Caenorhabditis elegans: one gene and its partner. The protein of the gene in region 1 purifies or fractionates together with the protein of each later gene. This does not show direct contact. Each region holds a gene or a part of one and is shown on either strand. Other genes may lie near its edges.

What was found. Proteins that work in one complex are often made in the same cells at the same time.
Region 2: the proteins of mcm-5 (region 1) and cdt-1 fractionate together in Caenorhabditis elegans (co-fractionation; one large-scale study listed by BioGRID). This does not show direct contact.

Annotation. Positions count from the first base shown.
Region 1 is NC_003281.10:4,287,736-4,293,092, forward strand, and holds mcm-5 (DNA replication licensing factor mcm-5), read right to left. Parts: upstream 3,532-5,357; 5' UTR 3,514-3,531; coding exon 3,347-3,513; intron 3,299-3,346; coding exon 2,986-3,298; intron 2,919-2,985; coding exon 2,803-2,918; intron 2,758-2,802; coding exon 1,767-2,757; intron 1,388-1,766; coding exon 1,117-1,387; intron 1,071-1,116; coding exon 649-1,070; 3' UTR 529-648; downstream 1-528. Other genes in the region: nth-1 (Endonuclease III homolog), read right to left, coding at 3,949-4,077, 4,123-4,328, 4,377-4,575, 4,879-4,971, 5,019-5,096. UniProt on the Caenorhabditis elegans protein: Acts as a component of the MCM2-7 complex (MCM complex) which is the replicative helicase essential for 'once per cell cycle' DNA replication initiation and elongation in eukaryotic cells.
Region 2 is NC_003279.8:3,222,655-3,229,785, forward strand, and holds cdt-1 (CDT1 Geminin-binding domain-containing protein), read right to left. Parts: upstream 5,451-7,131; 5' UTR 5,314-5,450; coding exon 5,248-5,313; intron 5,189-5,247; coding exon 4,225-5,188; intron 3,112-4,224; coding exon 2,259-3,111; intron 1,137-2,258; coding exon 965-1,136; 3' UTR 506-964; downstream 1-505. Other genes in the region: rom-5 (rhomboid protease), read right to left, coding at 96-296; txl-1 (Thioredoxin-like protein), read left to right, coding at 6,794-7,044.

The DNA of each region.
Region 1 (5,357 bases):
CAATCCCACAAAACCCTCGCCATTATCTCAACTCTCGGCCCATGTTAAATGCTAAAAATTTAAATTTCCCAAACTACAGTAACCCTACAGTACCACCAACCCTAACCTAATAATAGCAACATTTTTTCAAATTCAAATTTTCCGAAACTACGCAAATCCTACAGTACTCCTGCAATAATACCGTACTTAGCTACAAGGGAAGTATTTCAACCTAATCCCGGACTTCCAAATGAAACTTATGTCGAAGACTACCTTTAGGTTAGGTTTCCACAATTTTCAGTTACTGCTACCAACCTCACACTCGGCTTAAAGTGATTTTTGTTTGTTTATTTGGTGAATCAGTAAATTTTCTTGAGTAAGTTCACCATTGTTGGGGCATTTGCCAAAAATCAAATTATTCAAGAAGAACTTTGGAAAAATATTCCTTTAAGCAGGCATGCCATCATTTAGCAAACGAGCGGTGAAAATCTTCTGATGTGTTTTCTTGACACGATCATAAACTAGAATTTGATTATTTTTCAAGGTCTTCGAAAAAGCAAACGTTCATTTAATAATTTAGAACAGTTTAAAATCAAATTGAATGAGAAAATATGTTAAGAATTGAGTATGAGAAAGAGATCCAGATAAAAAAGACAAAATTTTGAGAATTTATCGAACACGGTAGAGCATCTTGCGTTGCATCTTTTGTTGCAAGTCTCCACGACGGACCAAATTATCGATAACCTTCTTGACAAGAGACTCTCTATAATGTTGACGAGCAACAAAGTCTTGAACAATCAAATGCTCAGAAACGTGTGTACCGATTGCGAATCTCTTCTTCATTTGCACTTCGATACGATTCAATGCTTCTTGATCAGCTGTTGAAGTAAATCCTTCGACTCCTGCCAAATTTCCAGTTGCCGCCGCTTCAATTGTTGAAACACGGAACAGACGGAGCGCTTCCTCGACGTGCTTGTCAGTGGCAAACTGCTGAAGCTCCATCTTTGCAATACTTTCAGCAATACGAACAATGGCTTCGAGTTGACGAACGGTAATCGGAATTGCCGAATTATGAGCCTTCTTTCCTGATTCTGAAAATTTATGGGTTTTCATTACAAAATGATATTTTAAACTTACTAAAAGCATCAGCATTGACAACTGGATTTCTCATCTTAACGTAGTGATTAACGAGCTTCTCAGAAGCTTGCGGAGTAAGACGTGGTCCACAGTTCAAACGAGCATATGTGACGAATTTCTTGAGGAACTCGATAGTCAAGAAACCATCCGTATCGAACATTGTCATCACACCATCTGAATCAGTTGTGGCTGTTTTTGGGACTCCTGCAATATCACGTTCTTTAGCAGCAGATGCATTCACATGAACTTCGATGACGTGCTTCGCGAGGGTCTGAAAATATTCAAAATTAAAGCTGAAAATTTAGAATTATTGGGCAAAAAAATCGGCCGTCGTGTACTACCCGTGCACAACTGTGAATTACGATTTCGCCAAGGTTTTTAGATGTTTAACATTCGAAATGGACAATATACCCCTCATTTGTATTATTCCCGGCAGAGAATTGGATTTCATTTTTTTTTAAATTATTGCTTTCTGTGCAAAGCAGGGGTATATTGCCCATTTCGAATGTTAAAATTGTAAAAAAATTAGCGAAAATGTTCCAAAATCATGCAAGCAAGCTAATGCAGTAAAATCATTCAGAAATTAATCACGACACACTAGGCGCACCCCTTCTTTGTTTCTGTGCGTGAGCATCCTTGCAGAAACTTACAGCATCTTTGAGAACATCATGAGTATCCTTCACAATGTAGATCATATCGAAACGAGACAGAATAGTTGGCATAAAATCGATATTATCATCTCCTCTCGACTCATCCCATCTTCCGTAAACCGAATTAGCGGCCGCCAGAACCGAGCAACGAGAATTCAAAGTAGTTGTAATTCCAGCCTTTGCAATAGAAATGGTCTGTTGTTCCATTGCTTCGTGAATTGCAACTCGATCATCTTCACGCATTTTATCGAATTCATCAATACAAACGACTCCACCATCAGCCAGAACCATTGCACCACCTTCCATGATGAACGAGCGTGATTGTGGATCACGAATAACTGATGCAGTGAGACCAGCAGCCGATGATCCTTTTCCAGATGTGTACACTCCAATTGGAGACACTTGCTCAACGAACTTCAACAACTGAGATTTTGCTGTTCCTGGATCTCCGAGCAAGAGAACATTGATGTCTCCACGTCGTGTAATTCCATCTGGAAGCTTCTTACGAGCACCTCCGAACAACAAACAAGCAATCGATTTCTTGATATCAGCGGATCCATAGATTGATGGAGCAATCGATTTAGCGATAAGTTCATAAGCATCTTTCCTCTGAGCCAAAGTCTTGAACATTCTCTCTTCTTCAGGTGTAAACGTTGTGAAATTGGTTCTTCCAGGTCCAGATGTTTCCATGTGGATTCCAAGAACTCTGAGATATGGTGTACGAATTCCTTGAAGAGATTTGTCACCACCCTTTTTTTGAATCAACTTTTTAATCGAATAAACTCCAACAATTGTGACTCGATTTCCAGGAACCACTTTATCAGTCAAATATCTCTCCGTGAAAAGCTGAAGATGACGTGGCATTTCTCCATGTGGAACGTCTTCTGGATTCTCCTGAAGCTTCAAAGTCTGATAATCGACACATTCACACTTGTCGGGCAGCATAATATATGGATCTATTGGGCATCGCTGCATTTGTCCTTGTTGTGGTCTGAAATTATTCAAAATTTGATCATTTTAAATAAGAATAACGAACGCTGCACAAGTTCTTGGAAGAGCAAATCCTTCAAGTCCTGGCTTGATCGAAACATCTGGAATTGTGTGCTTGCACTGACGACATTGGAGGGTTACTTTAGTGGCTTTAGAGCGAACCTGAAGAAAAATATAGTAACATTATTAATTAATATGATTTGTTTTTAAACATTTTTGATTTTCATACCTGAGCAGCAGCCACAATAATTCCGGAAATCTTGACAACCTGGGAGACCTGAGCAGATTTAACCTGTCGAAGTGAGGTTGGATACTCGTCAAGCGTCAGTGTCACTTGAATATCATGAAGCTTCTCCTCTCCCTTTGGTCTTGGCGTGGTAATCTCATCAGCGACAATTTTGGCGGCTTCCTCGAGAGCTGGGAGCACTTTTCCTGGGAATTTTCTCAGCTTCATCTCAATGTCCTCGTCGAAATTTTTCAGATGATTCAGGTTAATTTCAAGGCGATATTCATGGCTGAAGTAGTTGCGCTTCAGCTGATCTCTGTAATTGGTTAATGAGAGAAGTTTTGATCAGAGTAATTGCACAAACCTGTAAATCATTCCGAAGCCTCCAGTGGAAAAATCACGGATAAAATTGCGGAATTGAGTGATAAGCTGACGATATTCAGCGATCAACTCTCTTCCAGTATCTGGAACTCCGTCATTCGCAAAGAATCGTTCCTGATAGTAGATTCCGGGGTTGTCGAGGTTAGACATATTGGTGTTAGTGGATTACTGAAATTTTAAACCATTGAAACAAGGATATGACAATCAGTATTATGTTTTGAGAAGGAAAACTCAGTTTTCTTCTTCAAAATGAAAAAAAATTATGAAGAAAACAAGAAAAAACAATAGAAAAAGGATGAAAATATGGAAATAAAACAGAATGCGGTAAAACGATGCGATTCAAATTTGAAAATTTTTGGCGCCCGCGCCTCACATTCCGCAAACACGCTCACGTACAGACAGTGAATATGACGCGCAAAGTGCATCAATATTTATATAATGGATTTATTGGATCTTCTGTGTTTCATGAAACATAGGAAACCAGATGAATTGCCAGTTTTATTTAAATAAAAACATTAATTTATTCATTCATGTATAATGTATGTTAGAGATCAGTTATCGATTTTCTGCTTGACACTTGCTTTGCTACGTTTCCGATTCAGTTTTCACTTCAATCTTGGTTCTAGTTTTTCTGGTTTTCTTAATCTTTTTCGCAGGTTTTTCATCTTCAAATTCATCCTCAACTTCTTGTTTAACCTCGATACTTGTGGAAGTCTGAAAAAAAATCCGCTTGTCTTTTATTTATAAAAAGGTATAAACCTCTTCAGTCTCGCTCTTCACATTTTTAGCTGTGGAACTGGGGCACGTAAATCTACAGAGACAAGTTCCACATTTCGGACGAACTGGTTGGCATTGCATCTGACCGAATCCAACGAGAAGATGATTAATTGGTTGCCATTCCGACTTTGGAAGTAGAATTTCAAGCGCTTTTTGTGTCTTTTCTGGGGTGCTGGTCTTGATCCAGCCTAGAAATTCAAAAATTCATTTTTAAAATGAAATTAAAAAATATTTACCGAGTCGATTAGAAATTCTGTGAACATGTGTGTCGACTGCAATTCCCACACATTCTCCCCAAGCAATTTGCATGACGAGATTCGCCATTTTTGGGCCAACTCCTGGCAGTGCGCACAGTCCGTCCAGGGAATCAGGGATATCGCCAGAAAAATCATCTTTCAGAATTTTTGCAGTCTTTTGAAGGTACACGGCCTTTCTCTGGAAAGAAAATGTTTAGATTATTACCAAGATGCGAAATTTTACACCAAAAATACAGTACCCGGTCTCGAAACGACAATTTCTGGTAAATACAAAAAGATGTGCGTATTTAAAGAGTACTGTAATTTCAAACTCTCGTTGCTGCGGAATTTTCATCGATTTTTCAGTTTTCCCTTGATTGTAAACAATTTTATTGAAAAAAAAAAACCGAAAAAAAAACAATAAAAATTCCGCAAATTCTGAAACTACAGTACTCTTTGAAGGCGCACACCTTTTTGCATTTTAAATTTCGAGTTACCGTACTTTATAAAATCCAACAGGACACAAAATCGTCTCCAAGTCTGGTACTTTGAATTCGAGAATTTTCCCGATTGACAAGCCATGATCCTTGAGTCTCTGTAAATATAAAAAATGCTTGAAATCAAAATTTATATTTTTCGAACTTTCATCGCCGCCGCATTGACTTCATCTCTGGTTTGACTGGAAAGCATCAGGGCAACAAGAACTTGAAATCGATGAACCTGGAACTCGCAGATTTTATTTTTAAAAAAATCAGATATCACTCAGACGCAAAGCGTTGCGAATTTTAATATACGGTACCCGGTCTTGATCAAGACAAGCTTGACACGACAAATTTTTGTCAAATGCTAAAAGGCGTGCGCCTTCAAAGAGTACTGTAATGTCAAACTGTCGTTGATGCGGGATTTTCATCGATTTTTCAGTTTTTATTCAAATTTGATGTATGAAAAATCGATTAAAATTTGATAGCAGCTAAAGTTTTG
Region 2 (7,131 bases), on another chromosome or scaffold:
TTTTTACACAAAAAAAAAACCTTTTCTACTTCAATTTTCGCCGAAAAAACTGATTTTTTTACTAATTTTCAACTAAAAAATAAAAAATCCCGTACTTTCCACAAATCCGACATCGGCCTGACAGTTCTAGCGTCTGGACTAAACGCCTGCTTAATCTGATGATTTTTCGTGAGCTCTTTGAGCTCCTGCTGTCGTAATCGATCCCGTAATCCGTCACGTGTGAATCGGCTCGGCAGGCTTGTGCATTTTGTGAATGACCGGGAGCAAAGAAAGCCAACGAGGCGATTACTGAGCATTTTCTGAATTGAAAAATTATAGAAAAATTGAATTTTGTTTTAAAAATTTAGTTTTTCATTGAAGAATGATGAAAAATACATAAACGGTTGAAAAACGGATCGCGAAATGCGCCAGCAATGCACCGAAAATGCGCCAAGCGGAAAATAATTTTTACGCTGAAAATGAATAACAGCTTGGAATAAAAATTTTAATTCCATTTTAATTTTCTAAATAACGTTTTGATTTATTTGAAATTTTAAATTTGAAATTGCAAGAGTGATAACTTGGAAAAAAGTGAAAAAAAATTGGAAAATGGTACAGAGCATGAGAGAAAAAACGAGAAGAAAAATAGTTACAAGTGACGGATTTTTTGGAAAAGTTCCGATTTTTTCAGGAATTTTCAAAGAAATTCTGGAAAATTGAGAATTTTTAGAAATTCTTTGAAAATGTTCAGGAATTACAAAGATTTTCGAGAAGTTATAGTGGAAATTTTGTGATTTTTCGGGAATTTTTTGGAGAATTGTATTGAAAAATTTCCGATTTTTTTCCGGAAAATTCGTGAAAAAATCGAAAAATGCTCAAAAATCTTTGAAATTTCTGGAAATTCTTTGGAAAAAAATTAAAAATTGCAGGAATGTTATGAGAGAAAAGTGAGAAAATTAGTTACAAATGGCTTAGAAATTAGTTTTTAATGAAATTTGAGAGATCTTGCTGCTTTGGATGGCCGTGGTGTGTGGTGGTGGCTCATTTGTGCAATTTGGGTGTTTCGTTGCTCATCAATCTTTTTCTGAGTAATTTGGAGCTCTTCATCGAGCAACTCGTTGATTGCTTCAATGTTGTTGTCGGTGAATCGGAAGTATCTGGAAAAAAATTAGAATTTTTTTTGTTGAAATTTTACGATTTTCAAGTAATTTTTTTCACAAATGTCTGTGTCGATTTACGGAGCTCGTGTACTCCTCGAGGAGAAGTTATGTTTTTTTTGGTGGAAATTTTTGATTTTGGTCCATTTATTGTTGGAAAACCACAAATTTAATTTTTGCGATTTTTTTTTTGGAAACTTCTAAAAAATTTGGAGAATTTTTATGATTTTTTTAATGCTAAAGTAGTAATTTTGAATTTCCTATTTTTAAAATGAATTTTTCGAAATTTTCCAAGGCGAATTTTTCGAGAATATTAGATATTTTTCAAAATTTAAAAAAATCTGTAATATTTTAAACTCTCGCAGAAAATTGTCATAATTTTTTTTTTGGGAATTTTCAGGATTTTTTACAAACAATTTTTTCGAATTTTTTAAAAATCTCCAAACATTTTTGCTAATTTTCAGGAATTTCCGATTTTTCAATGAATTTTTAAAAAAATTCAAAAATTTTCAGACGAATTTTTAAAAGAAAAAAAATTTGCAGAAATCATACAAAATCGAGCACCATATCCAAAAACTACTCTTCTCCTCGTGGAGTACACCGTCTGCGTAAATCGAGACAAAGAAATTTTTAAAATCAAATTTTCCGATTTTTTTCATAACTTTTTAAAAATTCTTTGATATTTTTCAAAAATTTCTGAAAAACCACCGCGAATTTATGGAAAATTATATTTTAAAACTTGCGAAATTTTCAAGATTGATTTTTCTTTCAATTTCGATGCAAAAGAATTTGCAAAAATGACCCGAAATCGAGATTTTTTTTTAATTTTCAAAAAAAAAGTTGAATTTTCTGAAAATTCCCATTTTTGCAAATGTTCTGATATTTTTTTTTTACTAATTTGCTGCTTTCTAGAGTTTTCAGCATTTTTAAGAGAATTTCCGATTTTTCAATGAATTTTAAACATTTTTTCAGACATTTTATTTCAAAAAATTTGCGAATTTTCAACATTTTTTGAAAACAATTTTTTAAAGTTCGCCGAAATCATCCAATTTTCAAGTTTTTTCTTTCGATTTCGATGCAAAAGAATTCGCAAAAATGGCTCAAAATCGAGAAAAAACGAACTTTTTGTTCATTAAACTAGCTTCAGAGATGTACATCGGTGCGACCTCACACAACAATCTCAAATGATCCATAATATCAGGAATCGAAGACGAGTTGGACGAGCTGAACTGCACAAATTTGCAAATCACATCAATTTCCATCGTCTGAGCCCGTTTCGCCGTATAATGATTGCACACAATTCGAACATATCGGTCACGGAGCAGTGTTAGACGTTGCTTTCTTCTCTCAAGATCCTTATCAATACAAGCTTCAGCCGCCTTTTTGATTGCTTCCTTCGCACGAATACGCTCTAAAAGTGACATTGCTCCCTGGCTCTTCTGCTCTTTTTGCATCTCGGAGAACTTTTTCGGCGAGATTGGAACTGTTCCAGATGCTCCTGTAGTTGATTTCAGTGGAGATTTTAAGTCTTGATAAGCTTTTTGAACAAATGATGGTAGAGATACTTGATCCATATATTTATCTAAAGCTTCTTTCATTCCAATATGAATCGATGATTTCTGTAGAGGAGGTTCTGGAAGTTTCACCTGCGGCAGTGATGGACAATGCTTGTCAAGTCGGAATAATGGATGCATTCTCTTAATATTCGAAGAAGCACATAATCCTTGAGATTCCAAAAATTCCGTATGACATTTCGTGACAATCGAGGCCAACTTATAACGGAAAACATGAGCTCGGTCTCTTTGACGAGCAGCGTCCAGGCGAATCCTCCCGTCGACTTCTGGCTTTCGGAGAGCCGGTTGAACTTGTTTTCTGGGGCTTTTCTTTGGGGAGAGCAGCTTTGATGGGCAGACTAGTGGAAGATCTTCGGTGTCGCCGTCGGTGGGGGATTTTTCGTAAATGTAGCCTCGTAGATCTGCAAAAAAAAAGGTTTTTTGTAAGCAGGAAACTTTTTTTTGACTAAAAATTGGGGTTTTTTCGAATTTTATAACTAAAAAATTGCGTTTTTCTGGGATTTTTTGAACAAAAAAAGGTGTTTTTTTCAATGTTTGGCCACAAAGATTGTGTTTTTCTCAGATATTTTAAACTAAAATATTGCGTATTTTTCGCATTTATGACTAAAAAATTGCGTTTTTTTCGGATTTTTGAACAAGAAAGGTGTTTTTTCGTATTTTTTTGACTAAAGAAATGTGTCTTTTTTTTTCGATTTTTCGACTTAAAATTGTGTTTTTTCCAGATTTTTTAAATTAAAAATAATTGTTTTTTTCTAATTTTTTGAACAAAAAATGGTGTTTTTTCCAATTTATAAATAGCGTTGTTTCGGATTATTTGACTGAAATATTGTGTTTTTTTTTCGGATTTTTTGAATAAAAATTCGGTATTTTCGGTTTTTTTTACAAAAAACGCTGTTCTATCGGATTTTATGACTAAAAAATTGAGCTCTTTCGGATTTTTTGAATAAAGAATTATCTTTTTTCCGATTTTATGACTAAAAAACGGTGTTTTTTTCCCGGATTTTTTTCTTAAAATTGAGTTTTTTCGAATTTTTTTACTAAAAAATTGTTTTTTTTTTGGATTTTTTAAACAAAAAAGTTTTTTTTTCGAACATCTGGTAAAAAGCTGTGTTTTTTCTTACTTTTTGAAGAGAAAATTGTGTTTTTTTTCAGTTTTTTTTTGAGCAAAGCTAGTATTTTTAGAATTTCCAAAAATTAATATAAAACCAGGGCTTTTTTTTTGAATTTTTTGAAAAATTTTCACATCAAAAATCAGTATCAGGAGCATGAATAGGGTCTGTTAAAAAATAGAGAAATATTTTATTAATCGTTAAATATTTTCGAGTTCAAAAATGTGTGGAGGTGATCAAACAGAGAAGAAAAATCGATAAGTCTTTTTAAACTTAAAAGAATGCTATTTTACGATTAATATAATATTTTTTCTATTTTCTGACACTAAATTTTAATGGAATACGTCAGAAATAGCTGATTTTTTAAATGTTTTTATTGCAAATTGCCAACCGAAAGCTACGAACCTTCCACGAGATTCGGTCGAACCTCAAGTTCATACTTCCCGCCCTGGCCGAATGCTTTTCGCTGTTCACGCATCTCAATATGATATGATTGAGGATATACATGAAGAATTTGTGACAAATGTTCATTGGAAAAATCCTTTCCAGACGTATTCTTAACATTCTTGATCAACTCAGGAACCACACAGCTTCGATTCTGACCGATAAAGATCGCAGTGATCTGATCGATTCGTTTGAAAGTATCAGCGAGATGTTCATACGCAGTTGGAAGTTCAATCCGTTGACGTGCACTCTCCTTAACTTCATCAATAAGCCGTGAGCTCTTCAGAAACTCTGCAGTCATTCGTTTTCCCTCTTCTTCGTGAGCATCATCCTGCTCTCCGCGAACTTTTTCGGCCGATTTCAGGACATTAAAGCCGGGAATAATATAGTCTGGAACTGGCTTCTTCGGTGAGAACAGATTACGAGCGGCCTTGGATTTCTGAGGTGATTTGTGATGCTCAACAATAACTGGTTTCTTCGGAGATTTCAGCAATTCCACGTGATCATCGACCTGCTTCGTTTTGTTCTTCAAATTTTGCTCATGAATCGCTTTAGCTGCTCCTTTTGCAGCTATTCTTGCTTGTAAATCTGCAACAGTTCGAATTCCAGCCTTCTTTTTCGCTGGGCCGGATGCTTCCATTAGCTTATCGATCGCTGACTTCTGAGGAGCCGGATTTTCCAGAATAATATCTTCATGGATTTTGGGAAGCTCAGGGGCTTCTGCTTCAGCTTCTCTAGCTTTTTTTGGCGGAGTTCCGGAACTCGATAATTCCGCTTGACGGGATGGAGTCCGAGCGCGAGTTCGGGAGGATTTATTCTCGACGATTGGAGCAGCAGGAATTTGTACTTCTTTAATTGTAGTGGTCTTTGTGATGCTTTCATCGATAATCTTCTTTTCTCCTCTTGCTCTCGGTTTTCTGGTGGTCTGAAAAAGAAAAAAAAACATTAAATAATTGCAATTCATAACTTCAAACTCCAATTTACCTTGAAAAAGTCGGTTACAGCAGTCTGCGGAGTCTGGGACCTGGATCTAGTCACCCGGGAACTCATTTTTATCAGGAATAAATAATAATTTCAGCGAAATTATTCGCGAAAACCAAAAAATAAATGGGAGAGACGACAGACAAAGCGTACACTTTGAACAGTCCCGGTTTCCCGCACTTTTTGTCCATTGGAGCGCGTTTGTTGTCCGCTGCGTCTCCACGCTTCGTGCACTCCCTCGCCGCACCGGCATTCATTTTGAATGCTGACAAATCCACGTTTCATGCCGATTTTCTTAATTTTCCGGAATTTATACTATTTTTTGCATATTAAAATTGTGTTCAGAGCGTTTAAAAGTGCTTTTCACCTATTTTAGCGTGTAAAATGCCCAAAATTACCCAAAAATCAGTTTGAGAATGAATGCATTTTACTGTGGAAACCTTCAAAAAATCTTTTTTTTAATGAATAATTATTTAAATTGGCGTGATTCCTATATTTTTTGAAATTTTTTTTTCGTTTTTTCTTCTGAATGAGATATCTTTTGCTCCTAGAACTATAAACTGAACAATTTTGGAAGCGGTGATCCCAGAAATTACAATTTTTCGGTCAAAATTTCCCCAGAAATCGCCCAAAAAATAACGAAATTTCACAATTTCTGCGTATTAAATAGCTAAAATATATTCGTGCATTGTTCCGGGAGTATTTACAATAGCTTTTGCCAGAAATCCCAAAAAAAATGATGCGAAAGCTTAAAAATTGGAATTTCAGCGGGAAAAATTCAACAAATTCAACTACAAAATAACAACTTTTTTCAAAACCCAATTTTTTTCTTTAATTTTTCTTTAGATTTTGGGGATTTTTCCCATTTTTTGAGATTATTTTGCATTTTTCGATTAAAAATCCGTATTTTAAAGGTGGCGTAGTCGAATTTTTTTAAAATTGCTTCATTAGACTCAAAATTGTCTCAAAACACCGAATTTCATGATGAAACTGCTTGAAAACTTCTCAAAAAAAGTTATGACTGCTCAAAAAATGGCCTAAAATTAGTTAAAATTTGAAATTTGACCGACTTGTCAAGCGGCTGGAAACTAACTTTTTTGAAATTACCGTCTAATTTTGAGTATACAATTATATTATCTTGCATTTTCAATTTGATTCAGATATTTTGAAGTCGATGGACGGCGAGATTTTTAAATTTTTTAAACCAAATCTCGCCGTCCATCGACTTTAAAATACCTAAATCGAGTTGAAAACGCAAGATAATTACATTTTATATATACTCAAAATTTGACGGTGATTTCAAAAAAGGTAGTTTTTAGCCGCTTGAAAAGTCGGTCTAATTTCAAATTTTAACTAATTTTAGGCCATTTTTTGAGCAGTCATAACTTTTTTTGAGAAGTTTTCAAGCAGTTTCATCATGAAATTCGGTGTTTTGAGACAATTTTGAGTCTAATGAAGCAATTTTAAAAAAATTCGACTACACCACCTTAAAAAAATAAGTGCAGTAATCTAAATATTAAATTAATTTTCAGCCCATCTCCCCTACACCATGCCAGTTATCAACGTGAAAGACGACGAAGACTTCAGAAATCAGCTTTCCCTCGCTGGTCTCAAGTCAGTGATTGTCGATTTCACTGCAGTCTGGTGCGGACCGTGCAAAATGATTGCTCCAACATTTGAAGCTCTGTCCAATCAATATCTTGGAGCAGTTTTTCTGAAAGTTGATGTGGAGATCTGCGAGAAAACCAGCTCAGAGAACGGTGTCAATTCGATGCCAACGTTCATGGTTTTCCAGAGCGGGTATGGGTCTCATCTGGAATTGGAATAGAAATGCGGGAAATTTGAAGAAATTGCAAAAAAGTGAAGTCTCAGAAATTATTTCATTTT